Caenorhabditis elegans: one gene and its partner. The protein of the gene in region 2 purifies or fractionates together with the protein of the main gene of each other region. This does not show direct contact. Each region holds a gene or a part of one and is shown on either strand. Other genes may lie near its edges.

Region 1 (17,836 bases), on a different chromosome or scaffold from region 2:
CTAAATTTGATTATTAATAAAAAATCACGAAATTAGAAAAAACTTTTTTTTTGAAAATTTGGAAAAAAATTTCGAAAAAAATTCCAGAAAAGACCGAAGTCGATTTTTAGAAAAACCATTAAACTTTACTCAAATTTTGTCTATATTTCCAAAAAATCTCTTTGATCTACCCATATTCGCGAATTTTCTGCCTTTTAGCTCAATTTTGGTGAATTTGCTGAGTAGCGACTCAGTTAACCATTGTGATACGGAGTTTTGTCAGTTTTGGTGGTATCGAGCTAAAAATTGATGTGACGCGTGGAAAATGTTTGGGGAATTCAAAAATGTGATATTTGTACTGCTTTTTAAAGAAGTGGAATTTTTTGTTTAAAAAAAAATTTAATTCTGAAATTTTCTTGAAACAAAATCTCACTACAGTTTAGCCAATTTTGGCGAAATTTTTTGACTGTTGGTGATTTTTGATGGCAAGTTTGAAAAAAAAAACAAAGAATCTAAAAATTCCAAAAAAATCAAAAATTTTTTGAAATTTTTTTTTTCAAAAAATTTTTAATTTTTTTTTTCAAAATAGGGTAACTTTACCCGTAGATTTCAATTTTTACACGTATAACCCTCTAAAAATTCCAGGGAGCCCTGCTCTGGCCAATGTCCATCGCCATTATGATGATGCTCGCCCAACAGCTGTCCGGAATCAACGTCGCAATGTTCTACTCGACTGTAATTTTCCGTGGAGCCGGTTTGACTGGAAATGAGCCATTCTACGCGACAATTGGTATGGGGGCTGTGAATGTGATTATGACTCTGATCTCGGTCTGGCTTGTGGACCACCCGAAATTCGGCCGCCGCTCACTTTTGCTGGCCGGTTTGACTGGAATGTTCGTGTCTACACTGCTTCTCGTTGGTGCGCTGACTATTCAGAACAGTGGAGGAGACAAGGTTTGTACAGAAATACCAAAAACAAAACATTTCGAAAAAAAAATTTTTGAAAAAAAAAATTCTAAAAATTTTTTCCAGTGGGCCAGCTACTCAGCCATCGGATTTGTGCTCCTTTTCGTCATCTCCTTTGCCACCGGACCCGGAGCCATTCCATGGTTCTTCGTCTCCGAAATCTTCGACTCGTCGGCTCGTGGAAACGCGAACTCCATCGCTGTTATGGTCAACTGGGCCGCCAATTTGCTCGTCGGACTCACTTTCTTGCCAATCAATGTGAGTTTTCGGAGTTTTTTGTGTGAAAATTTGGACTATTCAGAAAATTTGAGCCTAGATTATATTTTTCCCGGAAAAATTCGACGAAAATGCAATTTTCATTCTGAAAAATGATGAAAACTCGTAAAATTAAAAATGTTAACTTGTTTATCATTAGAGCGCACTTGCAATATGCGCTAGATTTTTAGAAAATTTTCTATCACAAAAAACTGACAAAAACTACCAATTTTGAGCTTTCTGGCAGATTTTCTAATTGGAGCGCACTTGCATAGTGCAGTCGGCGGGGAATTCAAATTTTTTAGATAAAAATTGAAATTTTGGTTGTTTCAAAGTGAAGTAATGCGGTTTCCTGCGAAAAAAAACACCAAATTAGCATCAGAGCCGCACAAAAAACAAATTTATTGTCATTTTCTCATTGGAGCGCATTTGCATAGTGCGGTCGGCGGGAAATTTGAATTTTTGGGTCAAAAACTGCTATTTTCCTTCAATTTCGGTAAAGTCAAGTCTTTTTAGCTCTAAAAACTATTCAAAACCTCAATTTGCATTTTGCTCAATAGAGCGCTCTTGCATATCACTTGAAATTCACATTTTCCGTTTAAAAACCGAAATTTTCTTCCAGAATCTCATGCAACAATACTCATTCTTTATTTTCTCCGGATTCCTCGCCTTCTTCATCTTCTACACGTGGAAATTCGTGCCAGAAACCAAAGGAAAATCGATTGAACAAATTCAAGCCGAATTCGAGAAGAGGAAGTAATGCAAAAATTAATATTTATTTTGAATATTCCGTCCCAGCCCCCCAAGTATTTTGTATTTTATCGATTTTTTCCCCAAAGAAAATGTATTTTCCACACCACTGCGAAACGTATAGGTTTTGAGATAATAAAATTTGTATTCTTTGTATGGTTTTTTTTTGAATTTCACACTATAATTTTGTTTAGGCCACTAGCTCAATTTTGGGATATTGGCCGAGTAGCGACTCAGTTAACCATTGTGATACGGAGCTTGCTAAGTATGGTGGAAATTGGCTGAAGATTCAAAAACAATATCTTTCCGTAGCAGGTGTTGTCAGATTACGGTTTGATCTACAAAAAATGCGGGAAATTTTTACACAGAAAAATGCGACGCTAGCACACGCTCTTAACCATGCGAATTAAGTTGAGAATTCTCCGTACAAACTCCCGCCATTCCGGTAGATCTACGTAGATCAAACCGAAATGGGACACTCTGACACCACATGAATCATTAAAACTGTTTCATTGAAGCAAATTGTATTTGTATTGTATTGTATTGTATTGTATTTATTACGATTTAAATCGTGATCAAGATTTAAAATTACTAAAATACACGATAAAATGCAAAATTTTAAAACTTTATTTCAATCAATCGCCTAATTATCATTAATTTTCATAATTTTTATGAAAGCCTCAATAATGAACCTGCCATCAATCAGCTCCACGTCCTTCAAGTCTACGAAAGGCACGAAACGGTATACATAATGCACGTCGAATACATTCTCTGCATACTTTGTGAAGATTTTCCCATTCAGTGACTTCAGACTCAATTCGAAGTTTGTTTCTATTGTGCGTTTTCCAGAAGTAAGTTTGTTATCTTCACAAATTAGTGCTAAAATAAGAAATCCGTCCTTCTCGTTGACTGCTATTTTCCTATAAAAAGCAACTTCTAAAAAATTTTTTACGAAGTTTTCAGAAATTTCTCAATTTTCCCAACAAAAAACTTGTCATTTTGGCGGGAAATTTGCTCTAAAACTTATTCTCGACTAACCACGGGATCCCAAATCTTTCAATAGTCGGGCTGTTATACGTGAAGCCCGTTTTGATGCGTGACACATTCTTGACAAGGTAGGAAAATGTAAACTCGAGACCTGGAGTGTTTGGACGAGGAGAATCTAAATAAATTCCAAGCAGTGATTTCAAATTTCAAGCTCTACATATATTACCTGTAACGCCCAAAACCTTGACATGCGCCTCCAAAGTCACACTATCATTGACCACGTATCCGTTCTCTAAGTCTTTCCAAGTCAGAAAACGGTCAAACCAGGCGAATCCTGTTTTCTCAAACATAAATTTGCCCGTTTTGACCAACGAGTTCCCGCTAGAAGCTAACAACTTTATTTCGAAATCCGTCGATATTGTCCATTTGTGAGTTTTGTAAACTTGTTCCGCACAGTACAGGCCAGCTCCAAAAAATCCGTTGGCATCACGCCGGATGGATAGTCTCCTAAACATATATGTACGTCCTTAACTCTTTTTTTTATTAGGCTTGGCGTCAGTGGGGGAGCGTTAGCCACTGACGCTATTTAGGGTTAGGATTACAGCGTTTTTTTCATTTTTCAAAGGGTTCCCGTTGGCCGATCAAAGCGAAATTTAACACAGAGACGTAAAGGCCACTAAGAAGCTTCCGTGTAAAATTTCAAATTGATTCCATCAAAACTCGCCGAGTTATGGAGCTTAAGGTGTTTTCAAAATGACCCTCAACTATTTTTTAAAATTTGAAAGTTTGGCGTTTTGTCAGTTTTCTCCCTAAGCTCACGAAAATTTAATGACAGCAGGACCGTAGCAGGATAAGGTTTCTTGTGAATTTTGAGCCAATTTCGATTTACAGGAGCCGAGATATTAAGCTTCAAAATCCGACAAAAGTTCGAGTCCGGGTGCGGGCGTCTAAATTTTTTTATGCCCTGTTTTTTGTTCATTTTGAAAACGCGCGTGTAACTTGACGGTGGGTGGATGGATTTTGATGCGGTTTTTTGCTGTCTCTTCAAGAAGCTTGCCCCATCTCTGTATGCTTTTTTTCAGAAAGATTGGAGCTCTTTGAGCCGAGATATAAAGAGTATTTTCGAGTATCCTCCAAAAATCACGTTTTTTTTCTCATTTTTCGCCTCTTTTTTTTGCAGGAAAATTCGAGTTTTTGCGATTTTTACGAGATTTTTTAGCAGTTTATAGTACTCGACGAGATGCGTCGAAAAACATACAAATCATCCAGATCCATCAGCTATGAGCTCTTTTAGAGAGCTCCAAAGTCAAATTCGCAATTTTGACCTCCCCCCTCCCACTTCGGTGTGTTTTTTTCGTGTTTTTTCGCAAACCACCGCTTCGTGCGCTGTTGTCTTTGAGAAATCTTTGGTTCCAAGGTGAAATTGTTGTATAAAAAGATCGTAGGTACATTTTAAAGTAAAAATTATTCCGAAAAAGTGATTTTTTCATTTTGAAAATCAAGGCAGAAAAAAAAATTTTGATTTTTTTTCCAAAAACTTTTTTTTTCCCTTCTCGTTGGATGGCGGTCGTTTGAGATATTTTGATTTTGAGGAAAAAAAATGAAATTACAAATATTTTTAAAGCGATAGAGGAAAAAAATTTCGAAAATTGAGTGAAAACTCACTGAGATAACCGACCTTGAAGCAAGTTACTGCCGTTTTTGCGTTGTTCATTTTTCAACTTTGAGCGTTTATTATTCACTCAATCTGAGATCAATTTTAATTTTGTTTTTTAATATAGATTTAAAATTTGTCGCTAAATCCGAAAAACTGAGTTTCAAAAAAATTTTAGTGAAAATTTTTTTCAGCACCGCCAAAAAATCGAGTTTTTCAGCACTGATTTTTTCGAATTTTTGCGATTTTTCACTCATTTTTTGATGAATCTTTGTTTTCTATTTCGTGTTCAATGAACAATATTTATAAAAAATGAAATCTATTAACAATTTGTGAAAATTTGTTTTTGAAAAAATTTTGTGCCAGTTTGAAATTTTTCAAAAAATTAATTTTTTGCCTCTTGCACAGAAAAAGTGGTTTGGTCTGGTGTTTCAACAATAACATTTTTGAAATCCTCACACCTTTTTTCATATTCCCTCAAATTTTTGTAACCCAATTCTCACTTTGAAGGGAGATACAGGCGGGAGATACAGTTCGTTGAAGGGCTGGCTGCCAACACATCGCCACCCCACCCACAGAGAGACACACATTTACAACCTAATATATTCAAATATTACCTCCTGCTCTCAGTTTTCAAGATTTTATGATGATTTTTACTTCATCAGAAAGAACACATTCTCTTTCTTAGTCTTCTGTGGGTGTTGCAAGTGGAAGACAAAAAAAAACAATATGGATTTAAAATCAGGGCTTCGCCCCGATTTTAATAAAATATATGAAACCCTCTTAAAAAGTTACAAGAAGGTTTTTCCTTGCGCTTGGAGCGCAAAAGAAAAGAAAAAGAGCTATTTAGACTTAGGGTGCCCAACTGGAATAAAACATTGGAAATCCCAATCCAACCAGCCTAAGGGCCCGAAAAACATACTAGGATGCCCAACTTGAATAAAATATTGGAAATCCTTATGACACACCGGCGGTATGGCGCGGCTTAAGCCTAAATAGCCACTTTTATCAAAATACATTTGAGCGAGGCGGTTGTAAACTATTCGTTCTTTAGCAAAAATTAAAAAAAAAACTTTATTTAAATTTAAAAATAAATATCATATGTTATCACACCTTAGAATATCACTCCTTAATTTAGTAATCTTTTTCAGTTCATAAGTGTGAGAGAAAGAAAAATGGATTAGTCATCGGAATTAAATATCATCAGAGTGATTATATTCATCAAAGGTCTCACTTTATTGGAGGGTTAATTTGATCAATATAAAATGTTTATCTCATGTGAAGAAAGGTTCAAATTCTGTACCTATGAATGCTGCCGATATTTGAATTCCTGTCTCATGGGAAGAAGGCCTTTCTTGTGGGAAGAACGGAGTTATAAAAAAATATACGCAGGTACAGAATTTGAACTTTTCTTCCCATGAGATAGGAATTTGAATATTGGTATTCTATAACTTTACTTTAAAAAAAAATCTCCAAAGGTTGATCGCAAATATGTAGAGATTGCTCGCATCCCTTCAAATATTACGAAATTTCTAAGTTTCTTAATGATAATCTTTATTCAGATTACTGAGAAATAATTTTATATTGATCAAATTAACCCTCCAATAAAGTGAGACATTTGATGAATATAATTACTCTGATGATATTTAATTCCGATTCCGATGATCTATTCTTCTTTCTCTCACATTTATGAACCAAAAATAAGTTCTAAATTAAGGCGTGATATTCTAAGGTGTATGATATTTTTTAAATATTTTTGTTAATAAACGATTAGTTTACAACCGCCTCGCTCAAATGTATTTTCATAGATTACTGAAAAATATCCACAGATTACTTTTGAGTTGCCTGAGAAGTTATTGTAAAACGCAAAGCGAGCTCAAATGTATTTTGATAAAAGTGGCTATTTAGGCTTAAGCCGCGCCATACCGCCGGTGTGTCATAAGGATTTCCAATATTTTATTCAAGTTGGGCATCCTAGTATGTTTTTCGGGCCCTTAGGCTGGTTGGATTGGGATTTCCAATGTTTTATTCCAGTTGGGCACCCTAAGTCTAAATAGCTCTTTTTCTTTTCTTTTGCGCTCCAAGCGCAAGGAAAAACCTTCTTGTAACTTTTTAAGAGGGTTAGGCTTATGCTTAGGCTTAAGCTTAGGCTTAAGCTCAGGTTTAAACTCAGGTTTAGGCATAATCTTAGGATTAGGCTTAGGCTTACACTTAGGTCTAGGCTTAGGCTGAAACTTAGGCCGAAGAAAAAATATTGAAGAAACATTTTTTTTCGTCAAATTTCGTTTTTTTTTGGCACTAAAACTTACCATGGAATGTTGAAACGTTCTTCTGTTCTGCCAAACGGCTTGCTATTCAGAGTAGATATATTTTTAAAAGTGTGAGCTATGACAAATTGTTTCACAGGTGTCACCACTTCACAGGGAATATCTGAGAAAAAATATTGCTTTGGTTTTTTAGGGCTCCCATGCGGCGTCGCTCAAACTCCACGATTCAAATCTTTAAAGCGATGCGCCGAACCCGAAAAGTGTCGGGCGGGAGCCAAGTTTGCACCAAATAGTGACATACCCAGTCACACTATTTGGTGCAAACTTGGCTCCCGCCCGACACTTTTTGGGTTCCGCGCATCGCTTTAAAGATTTGAATCGCGGCGTGAGGGCGGCGTGGTGCGACGTTTGAGCGACGCCGCATGGGAGCCTTAGTTTTTGTAAAACTCAACTTATTTGCGATTTTTTTTAGTAATTAAGAAAGGTCCAGAGGAAAAAACCCACCAGTATATTTGACAATCCTGACATGAATTTCAACGCAAACACTATCATTAACTGCGTGGTTTTCTTTCAGCACTTCCCACTTAATATAGTCCTCAGGCCCACAACTGTCAGGCTTTTCAAACTTGTGCTTCACTTCTCGACTGAAGTTATTCCCTTTTCCAGACACCAACTTTGTCTCAAACACCGTATCAATTGACCATTCACTGGCGTTTGATACTTCTTTCAGACAGCTTAAGTATACTTTGAGATATCCTTTCTCTTTTTGGGAAGAAATCGCCCTGTAATACAGTGGTGGCCAAAAGTATATGCGTTTTTGTTTTTTTTTGCTAATTCTTCATGATTTTCAAATGAGTATAACTCACAAACTAAGCACTTTGGAGAGAAAAGTTTAACTGATAAACTGTTGCTTAGAATCTTGTCTTTTTGCTAACACATGATTCAACATTTCAAAAAATTCAGGTCAAGAGATACAGCGGGAGACACCTCGCGAGTCCATTTTTGGCTATTTCTCTTGAAACGCCTGTAGCTCGAGAATGAGAAATTTTCATGAGAAAAGTTGTATTAATAAAATAATCCGCAAATATTTTTCTACCACATGCATATAGTCGTTTATTTATCAAACAACCTGTAGCATAGAACTGTAAGGTTAAACTCGCGGAGTACCAGCACCCGTCGGGAACAATTTTTAAAAATGGTGGTTAAATTTTTCTAACACTTGCTTTTCAGTTAGAATGTAAATAAAATTCAACTATACAACTAGTTATTTAAAATATATGCACAAAAATATATTTTTGAAAAACATGACCTGGTTTTTAAACAGTTGGTCAAATCGGTGCTTTGAGAAGCGCGAGATTAAACTTACCGTTCTATTCTACAGGTTGTTTGATAAAAAAACGACTATATGCATGTGATAGAAAAATATTTGCAGATTGTTTTATTACTAAAACATTTTTTTTCATGAAAACTTTTCATTCTCGAGCTACAGGCGTTTCAAGAGAAATAGCCAAAAATGGACTCGCGAGGTGTCTCCTGCTGTATCTCTTGACCTGAATTTTTTGAAATGTTGGGTTATATGTTATCATGTAGACATGATTCTAAGCAACATTTGAACAGATAAACTTTTCTCTCCAAAGTGCTTAGTTTGTGAGTTATACTCATTTAAAAATTATGAAGAATTAGCAAAAAACCAAAAACGCATATACTTTTGGCCACCACTGTAATTCACACGTATCATTTTGCCATGAGGAATGCAGAAAAGGTAAGAAAAACTGTTACCATGGAATTTGGAATCGCTCTTCTGTCGATCCCTTGTATAGTTTTCCTTCCTCCATGCTGGAAACATTCCTGATAGTGTGAGTTAACACAAATTTCTTTTCAGGCAACAAAGGAGGGTTGGAAATCCCTGCAAGTTGCGTTTTTCAAAAAAAAAAACCAAATAATTAATAAATATCCGTTAAAATTCAAATGAAAATGAAGATTTTCACAATACGTATTGTTTCCCGACTAACCTTTTATTCTTAATATCTTCACACAAATTGACACAGAAATTTTATCGTCAGCGATGTAATTCTTCTCTAAACTTTTCCACTTCATCATGATACAGCCTTTGTTGTATGGTTTGTCGAAAATCCCTTTACAATTTCTGCTAACACCCATTCCTCCTGGTTTCATTATTTGGATTGTAGACTTGTACTCGATTGACCAATTACTGGGATATCCAAGCTCTTTTTCACAACACAAGTATACGTAGAAATTTCCATCCAATTTCTTGATGGATATTGCCCTGAAATTAATTTTCACTGTAAAAATTCCGGTGGAAAATTCAAACATTGTTTTATTATTTTGAAATTTTTAAATTGAACACGTGGTGTTAGTGTGCCTCATTTTGGCTTGATCTACGTAGATCTACCAAAAATGCGGGAGAAGAGACGCAGAGTTCTCAACTGATTTCGCATGGTTAAGAACGTGCTGACGTCATATTGTTTTAAGTGAAAAAAATTCCCGCATTTTTTGGAGATCAAACTGTAATGGGACAGCCTGGCACCCTGGCGACTGGCGACTTGACCATTGACCAATAATAAAAAGTTGTTCATGATTGAAGTACTTAGAAGTATGCCGGGAAACTTAAATTTTTTACAAAAAAATGTTCAATTATATATTTAAAAAAATAACACACTCACCACGGGATATCAAAGTGTTCTCTAGGCAAACATGTAATTAACTCGTCTTCCTTGATAGTAGAAAGTTTTTCAAAAGTTTCAGTCAACACAAATTTCTTTTTTTCCTGCATTTTCAGCAGAATGATGACTGAAAATGTGTTATCGAAATTAACAATTTATTGATTTCGAACCCGAAAAGAGGTTATGAGAATTATATTTTATTGGTTCTTATCAAAGAGCAACGTGTTTGACTAATTGAGATGTTTGGTAATTGAAGAGTGCTCATGATAAGGTATCAAATAGGCGGCCGGTAGGCACGTAGGCACGTGAATTATATTAAACTAAGCCAAATTTCTTACATATATCTAGCATATCGAATAAAGTATGAAGCTTTGAAAAATAAAATACGGAGACCATTATTTTTATTCGGAAGATTCTAAAACAATTTGTTAAAAAAAAACATATCCCTACTTTTATTTAAAAATTTTTAGCCTTCTTTTTTCAAAACTGACAAAACTCCGTATCACAATGATCAACTGGGTCGCTACTCAGCCAATTTACCCAAAATTGAGCTAGGCGGCTGAAAATTGCGGTCAAGTGGTAGATTTTGGCGTAGATTTTTAAAATGCTACTAAAATGTAATACAAATTTTTTTTGCTTGAAAACCCACGAGTTTTCTGAAAAAAAAAATTCAAAAAAAATTACGCTTTTTTTTTCAAAGTTTTTTTTCTGAATAAAAAAAACTGTTTTTTAATAGTATAAATATATTATTTTTGAAGTCCTTATAAACTTTCCAGTCGTCAAACCAATTTTTAGCTCGGTACCTCTAAAACTGACAAAACTCCGTATCCCTGTGGTTAACTGGGCCGCTACTCAGCCAAATTACCCAAAATTGAGCTAGGCGGCTGAAAATTGCGGTCAAGGGGTAGATCGTGGTGTAGATTTTTAAAATATTACTGAAAAAATATGAACTCGGTTTTCCCTGAAAATCTATGAGGTTTCTGGAAAAAAATTCAAAAAAATTTCTATGAAAATTTTTCTCTCAATTTTTTTTCAAAAATTTATTTTAAAAAATTACTTTTTAAAGACTATATTTAGTGAACATTTTCAACATTTTTTACCCCCTCACCCCGTTTCCTTCCCCATTCAGCAGCACATTTCCGCCCCATATTTCATATTTCACGCTCCACTGAAACATTGACTAATCGGAAATGACTTTGTCTTTTCTCTACCCGCAGTTTTCTCATTTTTCGGGTATTTTCGAGCAGCTTATTGACTAGCTCGTGGTGTTTTCGGCTTAAGGAAGAGAAAAAATAACAATCACAGAAAATTTTTATTCAATTTTCTTTTTTTTTTCTTTGGGCTCTTTCGGCGGGTGAACGCCAGTTTTTGGGTCACTTTTTTCTATAGATTTGGATTATTATATAGTTAGTTTCCAAATTTAATTCTTATTTTGATACTTGTGAAAGTCGTTGTCCTGAAAATATAAATTTACAAAAAAGTGGGTATTTTATAAATTTTTTTTCTGAAAAAATAATGATTTTTTCCAATTTTTTGAATTATTTTCAAATTTAAATTTCTTATAACTAATGTAAAATTTGATATTGCATATATTGCCAGTGAACAATTTTTCTCTAGCTCCGCACACGTTTTAGGTAATTGCCAAATTAAAGTGTACCTAAAATTTTGAGTTCCTTCTAAAACTCATGGGAAAATATAATTTATAATTTTTTTTTCTAATTATAATTTAAATTTTCTAATATAAAATTTTATGCTGAACATTTTGTTAGCTGACAAATTTCCTCTATCTCCGCCCATGTTCGAGTTATAAGTGAAAATCTCAGAAATTAAAAAAACGTTTTTTTTTTCAAAATTTCAAATTTTTTTTTCCAATTTTTAAACACTGTTCCATGATTTTTTTTTCAACTATTATTTTTTAAATGCCCATTTTATAACTAAATACCCGTTTCAGATATTTCCAAATAAAAAATGCACACAGCCCAAATCCGAAGTGTCTCCCGGCGGCTTCTGCGTATTTTGTGTGGGCGGCGGCTCCCGCAGACCTGGAATACTGTACTCGTGCTATTATCTATTCATATGTACTTGACAGTACCTGTTATATTGGCTGCTGGAATAAATAATGATAGAACAGGTTGGTTTTAGGGGGACAATTGGACAAAAGGCAAAAAAAAATATTTTTATAAATTTATTTCTAACTTTAAACTTGTATAACTTTCCTCTCATTCAAGTTATTCAAAAATTTTGAACTGACAAAGTTATTAAATATTTTTTGATATAAAAAAATTTTCAAATGTAAAATAACAAGATTCATAGAAAAGTTATAAACGTTTAAACTAAAAATGCCAAAATAAATTTTTTTGAAAAATGTTTTAATTTTCAACTTGTATAACTTTTTTCCTGTGTAAGTTATTTTAAAGTTGTCAACTAACAAAAAAATTATGAAACAATGTTTTATAATTTGACAATTTAAACATTATTTTAGCTTATTACTGAAAAGTTATAAATGTTTGAACAAAACAATCAAATTTTTAAAATCAATAACCTTTAACTGGTGTAACTTTTTTCGGTGTAGTGTAATCAAAAAGTTATCAACTAACAATATATTTCAAAACATGTGTAGATCATTTTGTTAGTTGACAACTTTTTGATATCTTCAAAGATGACAGAGATATTCGCTTAGTAGTAGCAACATAGTGGGAAGCCTCCCCCACCCTCTGCGCCTGCCCCACTCTCCTCTACGCCCATGAAGCTGCTTCACAGCCCGTGCAGTCATGTCCGAGTGGTTAAGGAGATTGACTAGAAATCAATTGGGCTCTGCCCGCGTAGGTTCGAATCCTGCTGACTGCGTAAAAATTTTTCGAAAAAATAAAAAAAAATCGAATTTCCAGGTCTGCTCCGCCCGTTCCGAGAAATTCAGCAGAGAGGCATATTGCTTGGAGAAATCGATGATGATTTATTGGACTTATTTTATGAAAGATGTCATGCCGAGAGAATGACCTACAATCCATAATTTGCTTCAAAAATTTTTTTAATTGGGAAATAAAAATTCTGAAATTTTTTTTGATTAAAAAAATTTAAAAAAATTGAAAAAAAAATCTAAGAATTATTTTCAATTCACTTTTTCGTAAAAACCGGATGATTCCAATAAAAATAGCATTACACGATATTTACACGGCAATCGATAAAAAGTGGGCGGAGCAAAATGACGTATCCGGTTAAGCTCGACGGGTTTAAGCTGCAGGCCTGAAAAATTCATATTTTCAATTTCAAAATTTTTTACGAAAAAAATCATACCGCTAAAATTTGTGTCATTATTAATGGTACAATAATGATAATAGTGGTTACTGTAAGAGTTCTTTCCGCAGATTTCCTTTGAGTTGTGTTGAGAGCCTGGCTTCTGGAAAAAGTGCTAATTTTTAATATTTAAAAACCGAAAAACTTACAATTTTCGAAGACGATGCACCTTGAAAATTACTATTCCACACAGAAGGACAATTAAAATTATAATTAAAGTTGAGAAAATGAGCCCACCAATTATTTGAGCTCCCTGGAAAATTTTTTTAAAATAAAAAAAAAGTTGCGTTGGGCTTTTTTTGAAATTAAAAAAAATCCAATTAAAAAATGATTTTTCACTATTTTCTATATTGCCACTCGCTAAAAAACTTTTATCCACCACTGGGGGTCGAACCTGTGACTTTTTTACCCAAAACTATTCCTCTTACCAGTTCAGCCATCGCTACATTGTTTAAAAATTCAAATCTGTCGGAAACTGGTCAATATGGGGTCCAAATTGACGAGAATTTTATGAAAAATTCGAAAAATAATGTGAAAACCCTTTGAGATTGCTGTAAAATTCGAAAATTTCTCTAAAAACCCACATTTCCAATGACAAACTCAGTTGTCAAAATAATCGCGCCATACTGAAAAGGAACGTCCAATTGCATGGCGATTGCACCATGAGTGATATGTGGATAAGCTGCTCCCATACTAAAGATCACAACAAGTATAGTCCAACCAAAAAATACATTTCGACATCTCTAAAAAAATTTCAAAATTTCAAAAAAAAATTTCGAAAAAAAAAATTTCAAAAAAAAAAAAAAAAATGTTTTTTCATAAAAAAAGAACCTACTTTCAAGTTAATTTTGCTATTAATTAAAATTACAACTCTTCCAAAACAAAACGCCACTGTAAATAACTGACAACAATAGTCCAAGCAGTAGTACAAAGCAATATAGTACCTAACAATACTGTCGCTTTTCATATTCAAAAAATAAATTGTAGCTATGGAAGTTGAGGGAATCCGAACCAGTGCAAAATCCAGTACAGTATACGCCAAATTGCATGTCTGCATTAACAAAAACGACTTATAGACATACGGATGAATTCCCTTGCGAATTTTCAAAAATCCCGCGGAAAAATTGAAAATCCACATTCTTACAGTACAATAAATTGATGGAATGGTACATAAAAATGTGAAAAAGTAGAGAAACGTCACATAATCTCGATGATATTTAAAATTTGCGTATTCCGGCTGAAAATTCACATATTCATAGGGTACAGGAGTCGGAGCCATTTCTGAGCAACTTGGCTCTGAATATTCCCATGATATATAGTAGGAGTTGTGATGGGAAAATCTTGTCGAACTTGGTGGTTTTTGAGTTTTGTTCTGGAAAAAATTAGGGAAATTTTTTGGCTTGAAAATTTGATATTTGAGAAAAAAAATTTTGAAACAAATTTTTTCAAATTTCTTTTGGGAAAATAATATTCTTATTAACAAACTAATTGACAAAACACAATAACAAAAAGATAAAAAAAAATTGTAACCGCTCTGGGGTTCGAACCCGAGACCTTTTCCCAAAGCCATCCCTCTTACCAGTTGAGCCATCGGCACCAATAAAAAATTAAAAAAATTTTCGGAATTTTTTAGAAAATTTTCTCTTGAAAATACTGACAAACTTCATATTTTCGACATTTTATTATCATAATAACAAGTAAAATTCAACTGAAAACAAAAAAAAAACATTTTCAAACATTTTTAAAAAAGTTAAAAAAAAAAGAAAGAAAATACACATAATGTTCAAAAAATACATCACTAATACGTTATTGTCATGGTAGAAATTACAGTTTTTGCCAACTAACACATTTTAACTCAAAATCTTTAATTTGATAATTTTTCACCAATTGCTGCACGGGCACCAGCTCAGGAAGTCCGCCCGGTGGTGTAAGTCGGAAATGAACCAATTTCTGGCGATTTGTATAAACATGATACCCCAAATGACACTCCAGAGAAATCCGACGAGAATAGGGAAAAGGAGAAACTGAAAAAAAAATTTCTTAAAAATTTGAAAAAAAATTGAAAAAAAAATTTTTGGATTTTTTTTTTCAAAAATTTTCAAAAACAATACCTCTCGACGCAGAATTTCACGATGATCATTTTTTGCACTTAAATCTTGATTTCACCTTTGCTCCCCACAGAGTTACAGACGTTCAAAGTTTCAGGTGAGAGACGCAGACGACTAGACAGCCTGCGCCCCTGCGTCTCTCCCCCTCGCGCGCTGTCTCCCTGCTCTCCTTTTCAAACCATTGTATCTCGGCAGTGAGGATAGCTATCAAAAATTTGTTAACTAACAAAATGTAGGAAATTTTACGATAAATAATTTGTTAGTTGACAGTTTTTTGATAGCTTAATTAATTTTCGAGTTATGACAATTTTTCTGGCGCCTTCTTCTTTTGGATTGCTCTTAACTTTAAACTACTCTATCTCTGTAGTGAAGGGGGCTACAAAAGAGTTGCCAATTAACAAAATGCTTGTAATTTTATGCTCAGTAATATTTTTAGTAAGTGGTAATTTTTAGATAGCTCTCTCGTCACAGTTTCTCCCTGAGAAAAAGTCTTCCAAAACAGAATTAGTAACCCATTTTGCAACTTTTTCTAAATCCTTCCAAAAGCTCTTGGGACACATTCTTTTTTGGAGTGCACTACGTCAAGGAACTCTACTTCCTCTTGTTCAAACATCTATTTTTATGGGAAAAAAAGCAAAGAGTTCATGAAACTACACCCTAGGGGGAAATTAAGTTACATTTGACTATTTTTTAAAGAAAAAGTGTCCTTCCCGAGTTACATATCAAAGATGTTCTGGATTTTTTGCCAAATTTTTTGAGAATCATCAAAAAAATTGCACATATTTCCCATTAGCTCAGCCTTTAGAAAATTTTTGGTAAATTGGCTGAGTAGCGACCCAGTTAACAACTATGATACGGAGATTTGTTAGCTTTAGTGGAAATTTGTCTAAATTAAAACTCAAAAATACAATTAGATTTAATAATTTTCCAGAAAATTGGAAAAAAAAAAATTCGATCATTTTTTGGCAATGTCTAAAAAAATTCAATTTTTTACCAAATGCCTGAAAGTTGTACCTGCAACATAGCCGCCAACAAATTAACCATAAAACATCTGAAAGTGGAGCTCCTCCCGGAATCCGAGCAGCAGAGCACCGACAGAGCCGCCCAAAACGTTCCGAGCCCCGGGATTAGCATATTCAAGAAGCAGCAGAGCACCGCAAGGCTCAGTGGCATAATTGGGATTTCTGCTCGGAAAAATCCGTGGTGCTGAAAGGAAAACCAAATTTTTGGTCAAAATGTTGAGAAAATTTTTTTGAAATTAACAAAAAAAAAAAAAAACTCATTTTTTTTCAAAAGTTGTACCATTCGACGCAGAATTTTACGCTGATAATTTTCTCTTTTTAAACTTTTATAGAAGCTTTGCTCTCAACAGAGATACAAGCGTTCAAAGTCAATGGTGAGAGGTGAGAGACGCAGACGACGAGACACCCTGCGTCTCTGCGTCTCTCCCCTCGCGCGCTCTCTCACCGCACTTTTTTTCAAACTAACGTATCTCTGCATTAGTAAGAGCTATCAAAAAAGTTTCAACTGACAAAATATTCAAAAATGTTCAAATTATATAGTAAAAGTTTTTTCGTTTCTCTAATTATTTTCTTTCTTGGCCAAAATCTCCAAAAAAGTTGCCAAAACCAATTTTATGGTGTTTTTTCCTATGCACCGCCCGATTTTATGACTTGTTTTTCAATGTTCTTCCAATTTTCTTCCCGATGTGCATACTAAATAGGCCCACTCAAAACAATACTCTTTTTTTGTTTCTTTTCTCTTTTTCTGGTACCAAATTGGAAATTTCAGCTACTTAAAGTTGGCATTTTCTGGTTTTTGGTGTGAAAAGTGCGGGATTTTAGACTTTTTCTTATCGAAAACTAATTTTTTTTACCTGGTACCCGAAAGCCGACGTTTTCTCGTGTTCCGTTCGCGATTGGGGCTCCTCATCGAAGTCCAAACTAAAAAAAATTATTTGAAGTTGGTGGACTAGAAAATTTTAATTCTAGGCCACCAAATTATATTGTCAAACTATTTTGTGAATATATCAATTTTGGAAAGTTACTTGGATTTTAGAAAACTAAAAAATATAGATTTTTAGGAATGTTATAGAGATTTGAAGTTGGTGGCCTAGAAACCCAAATTTTTGGATTTCTAGACCACAAACTTTATATTTATGCAAAAGTACTCTAATAAAAAATAATTGAGACTGTAAATTAATTTTTGAAAAATTAATAATGTTGATTTTAAGCCAATTTATGGCAATTTGAAGTTAGTGGCCTAGAAACCCAAGTTTTTGGGGTTTCTAGGCCACCAAATGTTTATTTTGTTATTAAATTCAAAATCAGGTTTCATTACGTACAGGGTAATTTTTGAATAAAATAAAGTAAAATTTCAGCAAAGTTATGACAATTTGAAGTTAGTGGCCTAGAAACCCAAAATTTTGGGGTTTCTAGGCCACTAAATGTTCGTTTTGTTATAAAATTCAAAATACAATTTGTTACGGACAGAATAAATTTTTAATTTTCAAAAAATATCAAGTTCCTGCAAAGTTACAGCGAGGTGGCCTAGAAACCCAAACTTTTTGAATTTTCTAGGCCATCAACTCAAAATGCTCCAAACATAATTGATATGGGGGTCATTTTGAAGCCCTCAGTGAGCCGAGTTCAAATTTTTAAGAAAATTTTAATTCTGACTCACTATTCATCATAATCCTTAACCATAGTTCCGCCAAACACGCAAGCCTGAGACATTTTGTGTCCAAAAAAAGACGACCAAAGACAAGAAAATTTCAAAAACTCTCAGGAAAAAACTGTGTCGTTTTGGTTACCCAATGCAACAAGTACACTCTCTTCACATTTCTGCGTCTCCCCGAAATCCTGGTGGCTTTCGAAAAAATCACTTTTTGCC
Region 2 (15,695 bases):
TGATTCACATTTGATGGGATGATTGAATTTAAGAATTTATGATAACAGACGGTGTTTCTCGAGTTGACTGCAGTTCCCCGGTGTTCAGAGATTTTAGTTAAGTCAAGTTAGTGTTCTAGATGTTCTCATCAAATAGTAGTGTAGTTTAAAATCTAGTGATCAGTTGTAAAGTTATTTTCTATTGATTTGGCACAACGATGACGAGTTTTTAGAATGTTTATTATATTTAATAGAGATGTGATATAAATTTTGGTGTGCTAAGCCAGGTTAAACTGAAGCTTTAAACTTTAAACTTATACCTATTTTCTCCAACGCAATCGAAAACCAACTTGTACTGTTATGTAATCCTTCAGTCTCCGCCAACGAAATTCATGCGGACCCAATTGGCACATTGCCAACCCCGTTTGTTTCTTTTCTCTCTCAGCCTCTCGTGTGCTTTCTCCCAACGGCAGATAACCGAGGACTGTGTCGCGCCTCGTGATCGCGCCCATCATGGCCCCCCTTCAATGATACTCGCAATCTACATGCTCAGTGTGATGAGGGCGTTTGTCTCTCCCTTCCTTTCAGCAAGCACACATTTGTTACACACTTTTCTCAATTTAAGGTTAATGGTTGAATATTTAAAACGTGGTTTCTTCTTCTAATTTTTCATGTTTATGGTAAATTTAGTTTACATCAAGCCGAATATCAGAAATAATCAATGCGACTACTAAAACTCATTAACAAATGCTACATACCTGCAGCTCAAAATCTATGGATATGCTGCTTAGCGTATTTCTATCTCACGCTTTGTTACTTCCATTTTTCAAACCTCCAAAAAATTCCGTTCCAAATTCAAACATTCTCTCAAGGTCGTTCTTATGCTTCGCAAAAATATTTTTGATTCGTAAAATCAGATGGCGCTGGTCACCCTGTCTTTCACTTTCAAGATATTAGTATAGGCAACCTTCCGGATTTTAAATATAAAACAGAACCTGGCTAGGGTATATTTGTAATTTTTATGTCGTGTCAGTAAAGACAGACATCAATAAACCTCTAAATCTCTTTACAAATTGTGCTCACAGTCGGTACAGACATAAGGTCGTATTACGTATATGCGCCACAACCATTGCCCCTTTACAACCATAGCCTCTTCACATCTATGCTTCATTTTCACTCATCAAAGCAGCTTTCATCATTTTTTCCAAATTTTCTCTCAGTTCTATCATCGTTTTGATTGAGGTTCATTGTTACAAGTTAGCATTTTATTTCAAATCATGAGTCTCCCGGACAGTGAGACCCTGATGAAAACAGTGCTCGAAAAGTATCCAGACGCTACTGATTTAAAAGAAGACATTGATGTGCATATGGAAGAGTTCAAAGCTTTTGAGTATCGCTTCAAATTGACCAACGTTGTTCTCCGGGCTCTTACTCTTCCCATCCCGAAACTTGAAGATGAATCAGAAGTGGTGTTCGAAGGAAGAAGTATCACGTACCACTGGACTTTCTGTGAGTTTTGAAACGGGGAAAATCTTTGTTATTTGCCTTGAATAGTTTAGATTTTTTGAATATGGTCCGTTTTGTAATTGAAAAAACGTTTGCTCAAAAACACTCCAAAATAAAAGTTAAACAAAACTATACGTTCGACAATCAGCAAAACATTGGGAAACTGATTTCCGGTTGCCAAAAAGATGCCGTAATATCTACAACCAAGAATGCATTGTTTTCTTCAAAATTAGAATTTTTTGTTCCAGGGACCGGAGACGACGAGAAAAAAATTGTGTCCTGGGTGAATTATAGCCCGAAGCCAATCGCTATTCAAACGTTGAAAAATAAAAGTTCCCATCGAAAGTAAGTGTTAAAGAACAGTTACCGCCTAATATAAGAATAATTTATAAGAATAATTTTGTCAAGTTTGTTTCAGGAAAGACATTACCTACAGCCAGTATATTGATATCAAAGGCACCGTTGAGCCAGGATTTGTCGTACCAAAAAACTACTTTGTGCCACATCCTGACCCAGACCTCCAACCAGAGGATGCCGTTGTTCACTACCAGATTTTGACCAGCATGAAAGATTCCATCGAGGATATGCCTCATTTGATGTCGGGTAAATACAAAAAATGACAAATAATAATTGACAAAATTTTGGAAACAAAAAAAAATTGGCAAAATTTTGAAAACAAAAAAAATTGTTCCAGAAACAAAGCTCGATTGCGAAATGTACATAAAGGACCGCTTTGAGGAGTTGCTCCAGGTTTGAGAATAAGCATGTGTTAATAGTTTAAATGTATTCTATATATTGTAGGAGTACCAAGAGAGCAAGAACACATACTACTTGGCCCGTGCCGACTTTTACCGCAAGCTGAAATTCGAGCACTTGGATCTGGATCATCAGCTTCTTATCTCCGCAGCCAATCGAGATTGGATTGACGGATATTTCTTGGAGAAGGAGCTTCGCGCTTCATATTCCCTCAAAATTGATAGTCTTGCGTGTTGATTTTATTTGTATCCTGAAATATCACGTTGTTGTATATTACCATCTGAATTCAATTTGCCTTGCACTTTTTTCTATACTACTTCTAACATTCATATCCGTACATGATATCAGTTTGAATGCATTTTACGAGTTGTTTTTTTTAATTGGTGCTAATCGACTGTAATAAATCATGTTTAACACATTTAACAAAGCCTGTTCCATTTTTTATTATTTTGTAACTATGTTTTGACATATCTCAGAATTATTTTACATGGAATTCTTAACATTTATTATGATAATGATTACCAGTTTCCAGAAATGCCACCTATCATTCCTCTAAACCTGACGCTGTCTCATATATTGGGACGAATTCAGCGAAAGTATCCAAACGCGACCATCGATGCTCAGAGAATCAGTGCTCATATGGGTGAATTCAGAGTTCTGGAATGTTATTTCAATATGACACGCGTCGCCATTAGAGCAATAACTTACCCGCAAGATGAGAATGGAAAAGAATCATGTGCTTCTGGGGAAGTACATTATCACTGGGCATGCTGTAGGTTTTTGAGACAGAACAGTTGACACTGCCAATATATTAAAAGAATATGTGTTTGTAAGCTGTCGTCCAGAACTACACCGTTATCTCTCCACTACCGGCAATTCTAAAAAGCAATATCAAAACAAGTTGTCAGGTAGCTCCTCGAACAACTAAATCAATAAGTACATAGACGATTTTAATTACTATTTTACTGTTTGAAATTGTGTTTTGTTTAGATGAGAAAATATTAACATTATATTGACGGTATTTATGAATAAAACACATTTTAGAACATTCACAATTGCCTTATTGTTTATAGAAAGTATTACGAAAATAGACGTAGAAGATTGTTACTTATAAATCTTTTATTTTCCTAATCAGTGCTTCACTCAGTGTTTTTTCCTGAAAAATGATTAGGAATACAAAACTAATAGGCAACAGTTTTCAGTTTATAATGTTACGTTGAGCGTAATTCAACATTTTTCAGTCTGCGGTGTATCACCTAATCTTCAAGTTTACATCATACATTACAAACCGAGTGGAAACAATGTTCAACAAAAGAAGAAAAACAACGAGAACCTTGCCGTCAGAAAATGAGCGGCTAACCAATACTGTTTCAAAATTTTCAATTGTAGATCTCCTAACTATCATCTCTACTGTCCGTATTAACTTTGATTTTTGTTAAGTGTTTCCCATTTTAATTTTATTTTTAAGCAAATAACATTATGCAACTTTCCGGTATAGATTTTAGCGATCAAAATTTTCTTGGAACGTGTTCTGATAATTATTTTTACTAATCAAAATAAATGCTCCGTCAGTTTCTGGCTTTGTGTTTAAGATTTTGAACATCGGGTATGCAATTACAACAGAGTTCTCCAGAAAAATGCTTCCTTGAATAGATTGTCACAGATATATGCTTTGAAATGAAAATATAAACGAACACGTTTCGAATATTTGAACTCTAGGCAGGTGAGAAAACAAGAGCAAACATCTTCACAATTTAATTTTTAATACAAACTCAGATATGTTGCCCCGTTAGAAATTTTGGAAATTTTGGAAATTTTGGTACTTGTGTAATATGCCCCCGCCATTTTAAGAATTAATTTTTTAACTTATAAAATAAAAAAGTGTACATTTTTTTTGAATTTTTAGGCTTAGGAAAACATCATTTTTAAGCTTAGCGGGTATCACGTTTAATTGAAACGGATAAATTGATGGAAATTTGATTTATTTCTAAAATGGCGGGGCATAATACACAAGCACCGAACTTTTTACTGTAGTAGGTTTAATAACAAAAGGGTAAAAAATAATTAAGTTTCAAATATGACCGGTTTGCATTCTTATTATAAACATAATGGGACCCACATGACCATTCCAGAATGAGAAATCTGAAAAACTTATCAAAAATGCTTTTGGCAGGAAAAATTTCAAAATACTACAGGGTCAAATATCTGAAATTTTGTAAACTTGTTTCTGTAACAACGGCTGGTAATCAATTTTTATTAATTTAAAACTACTTTTTGTTTTTTGTTATTTGTTGTTCATTAGCGGTTTCAAGATAGTTTGTGCACTTTTGAAATCAAAGAGCATTAAAAATTTGGGGATTATCGTTAAAATAGCGAAATATGGTTCATTGCTCTTTTAGGCTGAGAAAAGTAACGAATTTGGAAATGAAATCTTTTGAATGAAAATGTATAAAAATTTATTTCAGCGAAATTTGACAGTATAAAACTGACAAATTTTGAGGTGTTAGCGGAAAACGGAACTTTTTGTGAAAACTTTGAATTGCCATAACTTTTTTTTGAGGATTACGTTTCATCATAAATATCTGTCGTCCTAATTTGTGATGCCTTTCTTTAAACTTCCTGATATATTTCTGATTTACTATAAATTTATTTCTGTATTTCCAACGTAAGTTGTCAAATGCCAGAATTGTTGATTTGACACCCTCATTCAGATTTTAGTTTCAGCATGCAATTTCCAGCTTGACCACATTGCAGGTGCTCTCACGACTAACGATTACGCTTGTGTAGAGAAAAGTGTGGATCGAATCAATCTTTTTGTTCCCAATAAAAAAGTAATAAAATTATTTTGAGCATTTTTGGGTCTATTTGTTTCATTTTCTACTTTGCAACAGTTCCATTGTTTGGCTACATTCTATTTAATTTAAAAAGATGAGTTTTCAAGTTTCCGTTTTGAAGTTGTGAATATTTGAGTGAACCAGGAAAAGTCGGAGGTGAAAATGAAGAGTAAAGTAGGAAACACACTCTTTATTTTCAGCTGTGCTCCTCTCATTTTTTACACTACACTCTACATACATTTTTAGCGTTTTGCTGTGCATTTCATTAAGTTTCTTTCAAATAGATTAAAGATCATTCAGATGTGTAGTGTTTTAATCGAATATAGACGACTTAATATTGATCATAGTACACCACTTTAGACGCATCTGAATTTCTGCCAATGTTGCTTTATTTAGGGAAATGTTCAAAGATCACGCCGCCAATTTTTGAAACTTGTTTCTTTTTTACTCTGAATTCATAAATGTTTATGACAGATTCAAGAGTTCAAGAGGCTTGTTGTGTGGTTTCTAGAATGTTCTATTTTAAGTTGTAAAAAAACGAATTTTTGAAACGTCTGAACTGGATTCCTGATTTCCTTATGTAATTCTGAAAATGCTTCAAAATACATTTTATGTATTTTTTTAAAATTTTGAGTGCAAAAGCTTATGGTTTAATTGGTGTTCAATTAATCCTATATAAAACATTATAAAAGCTACGTTAAAGGTGCCCAAACGTTACAGCAAAATTTTGAAACAAATTTTTTAATTCTTTAAAACTACAGTCAAAATGAGTTAAAATAGTTGGTTTTCGAATATTCTATGGGTTTAAAAATGCAACAATGCTCTAAATTTCTTAAGAATTGCCAAACTTCACAATTTACCAAAACTTCGACTGAAAATTTTGAAAAATCTTAATATTTTCGAGGGCGTTTTTCTAATATTCGGTCACATTTTTAACCACTCATTTTATATTGAATGAAATGTCTTGCAAATTTTTCAGACCAATTTTTTCTAGTTCAATGTACTCTTCTGTGGATAAATTAATTATAGGGACCAATCTGAAAATTTTATCTTCCAATGACATACATTTGTTTAATTCAGAAATCAGCCCAAGTAAACTCTGTACTGGAATTTTTTGTCTTGAAAGATTTTTGATTTGCTTTTCTTTGCACCTTTTTTTTCAATGTAGAAGAATTGTTGTTTTTAATGGACAAAAACAGAGTTCCGTCATCATTTTTACTGTTTTGGAATTTGTCGTGATAGTTTTAAGTCTTCCTTCAATTAAAAATGAGCAAATCTAAGCTTAAACATATTTTCACAAATTTTTACATTTTTCATTGCATTTCGATTTTTTACATATAATTTCAATTAGAAAGCTCATCCAAGAACATCAATTTCCATGTTCTCTCGTTTGCGACGTATCGCCCACTCAAAGAACATAACGAGAAAGAGAAGCCGTGGCTCCACCCTATACACCGTGATTTGCTCTCCGCATGGCTTACCCATTTCAAACCTTTAGAGGCGTCGTCGTTCTTTTTGCCGCCCTAATAAACATTTCCTCTTTTGGCAAAAAAGAGCAGCTAGTGAACACAGAGTACACAGTTTCTCTCTTTTTTTATATATATTTTTTACTTCGTCATCAACTATTATTATGTGTCCTGTGCTCACCTTTTTTGTCTGCAGCTGTCCACTTTTTTGCTTTTTTTCTTATTTTAAAAATAAATTATTTCAGAACCAAATATGGAGCAATTATTTCAAAAATACGAGAAAAAATTGAAGCTCCAGAATGTACAAGCACGCATCTGGGAAGAAAAACATACATATATAAAATCCGGAAAAGCTGTTTTCAAAGTTCCAAACCCGCCAAAACAAGAGAGAACTTTCCGTTGGGTAATCGGTAAGACTTTTCTTTCTTTTTTAGAGTTCTTTTTAGACGCTTTATGAAAAACTGCTATTTCCGGTAGTAATCTACTTTTTTCCAGAAGCTCCGGCGAGCAGCTGCCAGACATCACGTGGATATTCTGTCAAATTCACACCCAGTCGAGTGAAAAGAGCAAAAATCCCGGAACGAATGTACAATATGAAACGATGTTTGTGAGTTTAACTTTTATTCATCTATGGAAGACGGAAGTCAATATTCCAAAAATATTCCACAGTGATATATAATTAATTACAACATTCACGCAGCATTTTCCATGCTAGAGATCGTGAATTTTGTTCAACTAATGTTTATGTATCACAAGTGCCTGGTGCTGAAGCATAGTACATCAACATTAGATGAAACGTATCTAATAATAGTGTACTTTCAAGCACAAAGCACATACTTACTCTCCAGACCTCTGCAACTTTCCGTCTCAATGGATTGCAACTTTTTTTACTGGCGCGAGGGTTCTCATTGGTTTCTTTTATTCATTTTTTAGTGCAATGTTTGGTTTGAAGAACTTTAAATTGGTCACATTAAAGGAGGGTACGGTCAGTGGAGAAATTATAAAAATTTTATCCATGATGCGAAAATGACCAAATATCATAATAAACATTTTAAACAAATTTTGGATTTTTAAAATTTCAAGTCAAATAGTGGTGAAAACTGTGTTTGCGCTACTTTTCGTTTAAAGTATTCTCTCAGCCCCATGAAATGTTGGAATATGAATATTTCAAACATAATTCGAACATACAACTGGAAGGCAACTTTTTTTTTATTGATCGTTGACTTCCAACAAAAAATTGAAAACTGAGCTATCACTGTTTTAACAACAAAAAACATTCAATTTTTTTTTTGAAAAAATTTATGATGGAATTTGATTATGTTAGCACCACAAGAATAGTCTAGAACATAACTTTTTTTCAGAGTAGAATATTTTTCACAGGTAAATCACCGCCTTGAATTATGCTTTTCTACACATCACTTTTATTTTTAAAAAATACATCATCGCTCGTTTGCCTCGCATTAGCTAACATAAGTCTAGCAGGAAAAAAAAGAAGAAACGTTGACAAATTTTTTTGCCTGGGTCTCTCGCTATGCTGTTACTCGGTTCACTCGTAGCGGTCGTCCATATCACTGCTGTCGACAAGAGAGAATAACATGACTGCTTGGCGCAATGGTAGCGCGTTCGACTCCAGATCGAAAGGTTGGGCGTTCGATCCGCTCAGTGGTCAAATTTTTTGTTTTTTAAGTAGTAATATAATACAATTTAATTCAAAATTACACGCAAAAATTTAATAAAGTAGTCCAAAATGCTAATCGTGTGAAAAAATGCCTTCTGGTAATGTATTTCTCACACGAAAATTTGTTGAAATTGGTTTTTGACACAAGCGAATGTTGCAATTATTTTCTTGATTTTTCTACAAATTTGAAAATCAAATTTCACGACTGCAAGTATAACATTAAAAAACAATATACCCAAGCCCACAAAAAAACGTATTCTGAAAAATTGGTACAATTGAGAAATAAAATTTGAGAATCCCTTATCTTTAGAAGTTGATCTCTTGATATTGATACAACTCATGCTAGACAGTGTCTACTCTGCTCAAAAAGTCAATTAGTAATTTGATCCGCTAGCAATCTAACGCATAGGATGCACCCGCAAACTGAACACCTATATCCAGACAATTGTTGCGCAATAATGTCTAAGTCTCCTGTATTTGTGTGTATTTTACGAAACATGTAACGGATAGGAATTTTGCTGACCTCACACGTATGGATGATGTGCAACAACTTGCGATTAAGGATAGGATATGTGTCAATTAGAGCAAATGGATTATACTAATGAAAACAATTGAAGAGTTTTTTACCTTTACGGAAATCTTTATAATTAGTTCAACTTGAACAACGGGAATTTAATTTTTTTTTTAACATGGGATAAATGAAATAATTAAGATGAACAAATTTCAGCCAACTCCGCCGAGACAGTCGTATTGCATTGTCAGATGCAATTTTCCAGCCGGAAAAGAAGACAAACACGATGGATCATTTATTTACCGCTTCTACAGCTCCGGAATACTCGGAGAAGGAATTGCGACAGATAGAAGATTTTCAGTCATTTTTTGACAATTGGGATGATGATTACTATACGGAGCAAGGTACTTTTAGAATTTCTGAAATATTTTTACAAAAATTACTATTTTTAATTCTAGAAAAATATCCAGTTATATATGACCTCATAACAATTCAAATTTCAGATTGTCTAGACCTGATGCAACAAGCTGTAAATGGAAGAATCGAAGTTTATCAAGAGGTTAGAAAAACCATTTTAATAGAAACCTAACTTTTAACAAAGCTCAATAACTTTAAATCTTCTTAGAAAAATTTTTGTTGAGTAAAAATAAAAAATAAACACTAAAAAAACAAATATATGCAGAATAATCAAAAGAGTTTTGGGTCAAGATCGGAACATTAATTTTTTCCCCGTTTTCACTTATTCTTGTCAAAATGTATTAAACTGAAAAACCACGAAGTTTCGAGAATTCCAAAGCACTCAGACGAATCTCTTCGCTGTGAAATACATAAAATGGTTACTTGAAAACAATTAAATTCTAATATTTTTAATATGTAAAAAAAATTTGATTCTTATTTTCCAAATTTAGCAAACCTCTTCTGAAATCTAGTAAAATGGTATCCGATTTTTCATAGATTTGGAGTTTAACTTGAACATATTCAGTTTGTTGAATTGAATCGGTACCGCAGAAAACATTTCAGGTATACAAGCAAACTTCCAACCCAATATATCTAGCAAAAGCAGTTTTTATCAAATTTCTCGACTTTGATCGACTCTCTCCACTTCATAAAACGTACTTGATGCTCAGCGAGGAATGTGAATTTCCAATGTGCTATGTAGAAGGAATTCTCCGTCGTCATTATGAATAATTGTTTTCTGGCTTTTCATATTATTTTTAGCCATTATTATTTTTTGTTGCTTAGATGACATTTTGTTTATTGTATTTGAAAACCAGTATTTTTTGCTCTTTTCATTTTGATTTCATTTTTATTCCGTTCACATTAATAGTGTAATTGGGGATTTGTTCATGGTATTTCATATTTTTAGTGTCCTGGAAATCGTATACTTCATATTTATAAAGATGTATTTTAATGATTTCTGCATTCGTATCCACTTTAAAGTATATAGCCAGGTTCCGCTCACAGTAAAAGAATCAAGTATAACGCAATAAACAGAGTTCAACAGTGTTGAGCCACGCCCACGTGACCTCTCTAAGGTAACAGATATACTATAGACAAACTCCGCCTATTATGTCTAGAGCAGCTTTGTACCGTATCATTTGCAACAGTTGCTCTCGCTCCATTGTGACTTTTCTGAGCTCAAAATTCTAACCATTGTTATTTCAATTCGTATTCTAGAATGCTTCCGGCCGCGAATGCTAGCAACAGCCTTCCTCGTAAAAGTATGAGAACCGTGAAGTCATCCAGACGTCGCAGCCTTGCTCCAAATGAATGCTTTAATACTGAAAAGGAGAAAGGAAACGATCTTTTCTCGTCTCTTCATCGAAAAATTGTCAAAACTGTCAGGAGATGTAAGTAATTATTGGTAGTAGTAAAATATGTAATAGTTGAAATAAAACCAGTAAGTATGCTTCCATGTAGATTTTTTTTAAATTCATGTGAGAGTTGCATTGAGTAGTAAGTATCACGCATCCAAGAATATATGAAACTTATGTTTTTGTGGAGTGGGATTCTTTTTCATTGCCGTTACTAACATTATTGTAGACTTAAGTATAAGTTCTTGAAGCTAATGCGCTCAAAACACGACTTTTTAAAGGAGTAGTAATGGTTCGGACAATTTTGAACGTAGAGACGCAAAATAGGCTCAAATAAACTGAATTCTGAGGCATCCCAAAAATTCTTCAAAAATATATTATGCCGGTTTAAAATAACTGAAAAATTAAGATAATTTTTTCTAAAATTTCATATTTTACCAACTATTCCGTTTCGCAAGTTTTTGAAATTAAGTTTTATTTGATTATCTTTTTTTGTATCAATTTCAGTGATTTTCGGTTACTTATCAGTGTATTCAAATCAACTATTATACGTGAGATGAACAACCAAAATATATTTTGAACAAATGAATAATAATTTTCAATTTTTTGTTCGTTTCAGCACATTTTGCATCTATATATATACGTTTGAAATACCCCATTCCATTACTCCTACTTTGAGCCCAAATGATAATTGTTCCCAATGTAGTAGAAGTGGTGCCGTAAAGAGTCCGTATTGAACGAACATTGGCCGAAAAAAGACAGGCGCTACCAGTCCAATCTGAAAAAAAGTAACTCACAATAATTCAACTCAAATAACTTGCAGCTATCGCTCCTGAACAACTTCGTTTGAGAACTGATGAAGAGAGAAGAGACCACGAAGCCTGCGATTTGGAAAACCAGAAAAAATTAGACATTTGCAAGGACCAGTACGAAGCTGAGCTTGTAATGTGCAAAACCCAACACCAAAATGAACTGGACGCGTGAAATTGAGCAATACAAACAAGTCGTTGCATCATATAAATTGAAGATGAAGCGGATGGAAATGAAGATCAGCGACATATCAGAAGAAAAACGTCAATCATCGATGCTATTCGATCCTGCCGGAACTCATTCGGATGACAAAGAAGTTTGTGAATACTGGAGAATGATTAATTATGTGGACCAAAACTTCAATTTGATTGGAGGAATGATAAAAATGCATCAGTACTGTTTGTCTGTGAGTATTCCAGATTTCAGTTATTAAGCGAGAGCTCATAAATTATTAATTTTTTGCAGGTGTACAATAAAAGTGGATCTGGATACTTCCGTGATGGAGCAAACTTCTTCCGAAATGCGGATCCATTGAATCTTTCCAACGATAGCAAGATTCCCATCCAAATGGTTTGCATGAATCTGTGGACCTGCGAAAAAATCGAAATCTGGTATCGAGATTTTTACTCGCATCGTTACTTGGAGCAAGTCGATGGCAAGGAAAAATACGATGAAGATCAATATACAGTTTTTGACCAGTTGTTTGACAATCTTGGCAGTGACGCGAGCACATTGATGGAGCAACAAATCGAGCTCATGAGAAATTACTGTCAAGCGAAGGCTGAGCTTACAAACATGGTGGAGTTCCAGAGAGGCGTTCGGTTTTGGAGAATGGTGTCACCAATTCATCTGCCACGTAACTATCAGCTGGCGTTGATTCTTGCCAAGCGTAATGGATGGGTGCATGAAGATGTGGAGCGTTGGTTCAGAGTCTTGTACGACGAGTCATGCTGTGTTGGAGCCCGAGGTCGTGATGTCTATCTAAATTTCGGTCGTTGAAAAAACTCAATTACACACTTGTGGTTTAAAAACTCATTTATATTGTCCCCCAATTTCACTCAAAATTACTTCTCTATAAATTAATCTAATTATATATTATCACTTATCCTACCTTTTTCATGTGTGTTTTGTCTCTATACAGTTATTCTGGTTTTGATTTGTTCAATTTTAACATGTATTTTTACTTACCTGCCACGGTCATTCTGTTTCGTCATTAATATTAATTTTTAAATTTCAGCAGTGGTCATTTTTCATTTTAATAAAAATTTTTTTTAAAAAAACATGAAAAATGAATCATTTCAATGTTCACTGTTAATACCGTTTTGGCAACATTCCGGCACGTCTGTGCTTAGAAAAAAACATGTTATGATTAAATTGATTAAAGATTATTGATTAAAGAACTACAGTTTTTCAGTTAATTTCCATGTTTTAAAATAGGTATCCCAGAGAGGGTTTTAAGATTTCGAAAATATGTGCTTCAATCATGGGGCGCAGCATTTGCTAATTGGCAATTGCAATTTCGGCAAGTTTAGCATTTGACGAGATTGGACTACATTTTCGAGTTTAGAAAATCACCGTTTTAATGCAAAAGCTGTGAAAAACAAGTCACGGTAAATTTTGTAATGTTTATATTTTATTTCGTCACGGTAAGTAACTCATTAATTAGAATTCACTTTATTCTGTTATACTTTTAGCTAGCTCCGATCTTTGCCTTCAAATAATCCATCCGTTCCCATGCTGGAACTCCTTGAAACTTCAGAAATCCCTAAAGACCCTTTTAAAAATCTTATTATTCATGTATCCTCATATTTGCATAACAATGCACATATTGATTTTAGAAGTAAAGACTGAAATTTCGCAATTTTGGTTGGAGAGGGACTTTATTTGAAACAAGGGATGAAGGATATTAAACGTAAAGTCATCGTACGGGCTTAGAAACAGTGTTCTACTACCACGTGAGGTACTACTCGTTTGAAAAATGGAAGAGAATATCAGAAAAATGAAATAGAACTGAGATAAGTAAAAGAGGAAATGTTGGATGATTGCACAACATTGCAACAGAGGAAATGGAAACAAAGAATCATCAGATTCTGAGCATGAACAAGGCTATTGATAATATTTTGATTGAATGATGATAAGAACAGTTTCACAACAATAGCAAAGATTTAGACGCTGGCATATCCTTGTCTCTTTGCACGAGCACGTCCGATAAGGTATCCGACGAGCACAACCACGACGAGAGCCGCGAGGCAGGCTCCGACGACGATTGGGACAACTTCGTTGGTGCGAGCATCCAAATAGCACACCTCGTAGACTTGGTCAGTTGGGAAAACGGTGCCGTTCATCTGTGCAAATGCAATCACGTTGGATGTCTTGATGTCAATGGTAGATCCTCCGACGAGTCCAAGCTTGGCGGTGGAGCACTGAAAATTTTTGAGTTAGGCAAGAAATAGTGAGTGGTAACAAGACCCCAAATGCTATAGCAGAAATGGTATTACCTTGTAAGCGTTGGTCTGAGTTGCTGTAACATCTCCGGCAGCATTGGCGTCTCTGACAAACTTTCCAAAGTATGGGACAAGATCCGTTCTCTGAGTGGTGAGGGTGTAGTCAATGATCTCAAAGGCGACGTTGCTAGATGATCCGAACACGATATCGAGCTCCCACTCTTTGGCGTAACGGGCAGATTGTCCTTCAGGGTTGAACTTAATCTGGAAATTTTTTCAAGTTATAAATTGCCCTAAAGTTGTTATTCAAAAACTCACATTCAACGTCTGAACCGATTGATTGTTGCGGACTCCGTTGCAATCTCCTTCGACACTGACTGTCTCGTTGAATGTGACCGTGAACTTCTCGGTGGTGTTCTTCTCGTTGAAGACCAAATTGAACTGGAAGTCTCCGTCGAGGATGATGCACGTGAGTCCGGTGTTGTTGTTGGTTACATAGTAATGCGAAGCGGTGGCGGATGCGGAGGCCAGGAAGGCTGAAAATTGATTGATTGCTATTGTATTTCTGCGTAGGAAGTATTTCACTTACCAAACAAGATGACAAACGATTTCAACATAGTTCAATTGTGTAGAATGAGTCCGACGATCTGAAAATGAAAACTTTGTTGTGCTACGAGAGCAGAGCGGACAAGCAATAGATTTGTGTTTGTGTAGGCACAAGCAAACAGTAAATTGCTACGCGAGTTGAATGTGATTAAAAAGGTGGGAACAATGAGGAATATGGAGTGTTTATGCTTCTACAATTCAATGGTCATAGATTGATCATAACAAAAATCAGAGTCATAACAAAACAAAACATAAACTGCTGAGAATAAATGCAGAGAATGTTTATGGGGTGGATGAGTCACCTCATCTCTTGCAAAACAATCGATCTTGTGCGGTTTCTAATTGGAGACATGGTATGATGATGGGAAAGACCCAAAATTGACGAGCAAATGAGCGCTCAAGACATCTTTCGGCAGCGTTAATCAAGACTTTGACTATGATAAAGAAACAAGAGAGCAACATTATCACGATTGGGTCACCTGATAACACTGTCGACGACATTGATCGGTTTTTGGGTATTTCGATTGGTTTTCTGCCAGAAAAAAAAAGAAAAATCGGATGATAATGAGAAGAATAAAGTGCACATTCGCAATGATGCTGTAAAATGTTCTAAATGGATAAACTGGCGAAAAAATAGTATGAACAATTCCTCTAAGTTGTTTTCGCAATGATTGGGATGCGACAGCAAGACATGTGACCTAGCGAAAACCAAACAACTCGCGATAGAAACCGTGAGAGCAAACTGAGGAATTCGTCTAAAACTACCAAATCCTGCATCGCGATGCACTATCTCACACGTAGTGGTGTCACAGAGCAGAGAAGACGACGTTGCAGCAGAACTGGGGAAAAGAAAGAAGAGTGAGAGGAAATGAATGTCAATACACAACTGAAGGCAAGACGAGAGTAGAGTGTGTGGTCGAGCGCGCGCGCGTACACAGCCGTCCCTCGAAGTGTCGTAGCGTTGTGCGCACTATTGGTACATGTACACCGCACGACATATTGCGGACCAAACCGAACAACAATTTTTGGAGCAGGAATGCATTTTCCAGAGCAGGTGCATAGATTTCGGAACCTAGCTATTGCGAATAAATAGATAATAATTAGATTTTGAGTTAATATTCAAATTGAATATAATCTGTATGTTTTCTGGAGAACTTGGAGTAGTCAGTGGTATAATCATAGCAAATAATTCCTATAGAACTAAATTGATTAAAATGTAAAATGAAATTAAAACTTTTCAAAAAAGTTGGTAAATTTTTTCGGAAGTCGTCCATCAAAAACTTTTTACTTC

Evidence for each region.
Region 1: the proteins of C03B1.2 (region 2) and math-45 fractionate together in Caenorhabditis elegans (co-fractionation; one large-scale study listed by BioGRID). This does not show direct contact.

The regions. Positions count from the first base shown.
Region 1 is NC_003280.10:1,507,728-1,525,563, forward strand, and holds math-45 (MATH domain-containing protein), read right to left. Parts: upstream 9,728-17,836; 5' UTR 9,653-9,727; coding exon 9,543-9,652; intron 9,146-9,542; coding exon 8,871-9,145; intron 8,765-8,870; coding exon 8,638-8,764; intron 7,641-8,637; coding exon 7,363-7,640; intron 7,022-7,362; coding exon 6,901-7,021; intron 3,445-6,900; coding exon 3,164-3,444; intron 3,113-3,163; coding exon 2,989-3,112; intron 2,871-2,988; coding exon 2,594-2,870; 3' UTR 2,560-2,593; downstream 1-2,559. Other genes in the region: fdgt-1 (Facilitated glucose transporter protein 1), read left to right, coding at 625-933, 1,012-1,203, 1,823-1,960; Y51H7BR.8 (ABC transporter permease), read left to right, coding at 11,511-11,673, 12,431-12,552; Y51H7BR.7 (Protein stum homolog), read right to left, coding at 14,717-14,860, 15,959-16,150, 16,821-16,887, 17,627-17,679.
Region 2 is NC_003284.9:6,363,240-6,378,934, forward strand, and holds C03B1.2 (uncharacterized protein), read left to right. Parts: upstream 1-6,777; 5' UTR 6,778-6,794; coding exon 6,795-6,951; intron 6,952-7,036; coding exon 7,037-7,148; intron 7,149-8,136; exon of another isoform or gene 8,137-8,225; intron 8,226-8,946; coding exon 8,947-9,134; intron 9,135-9,233; coding exon 9,234-9,289; intron 9,290-9,750; coding exon 9,751-9,918; 3' UTR 9,919-10,144; downstream 10,145-15,695. Other genes in the region: C03B1.4 (uncharacterized protein), read left to right, coding at 1,257-1,488, 1,734-1,830, 1,904-2,088, 2,180-2,235, 2,287-2,478; C03B1.3 (uncharacterized protein), read left to right, coding at 2,776-3,013, 3,483-3,592; C03B1.17 (CHCH domain-containing protein), read left to right, coding at 10,409-10,580, 11,368-11,528; C03B1.1 (uncharacterized protein), read left to right, coding at 11,512-11,760, 11,820-12,353; LAMP family protein lmp-1, read right to left, coding at 13,520-13,777, 13,853-14,062, 14,117-14,334, 14,388-14,415.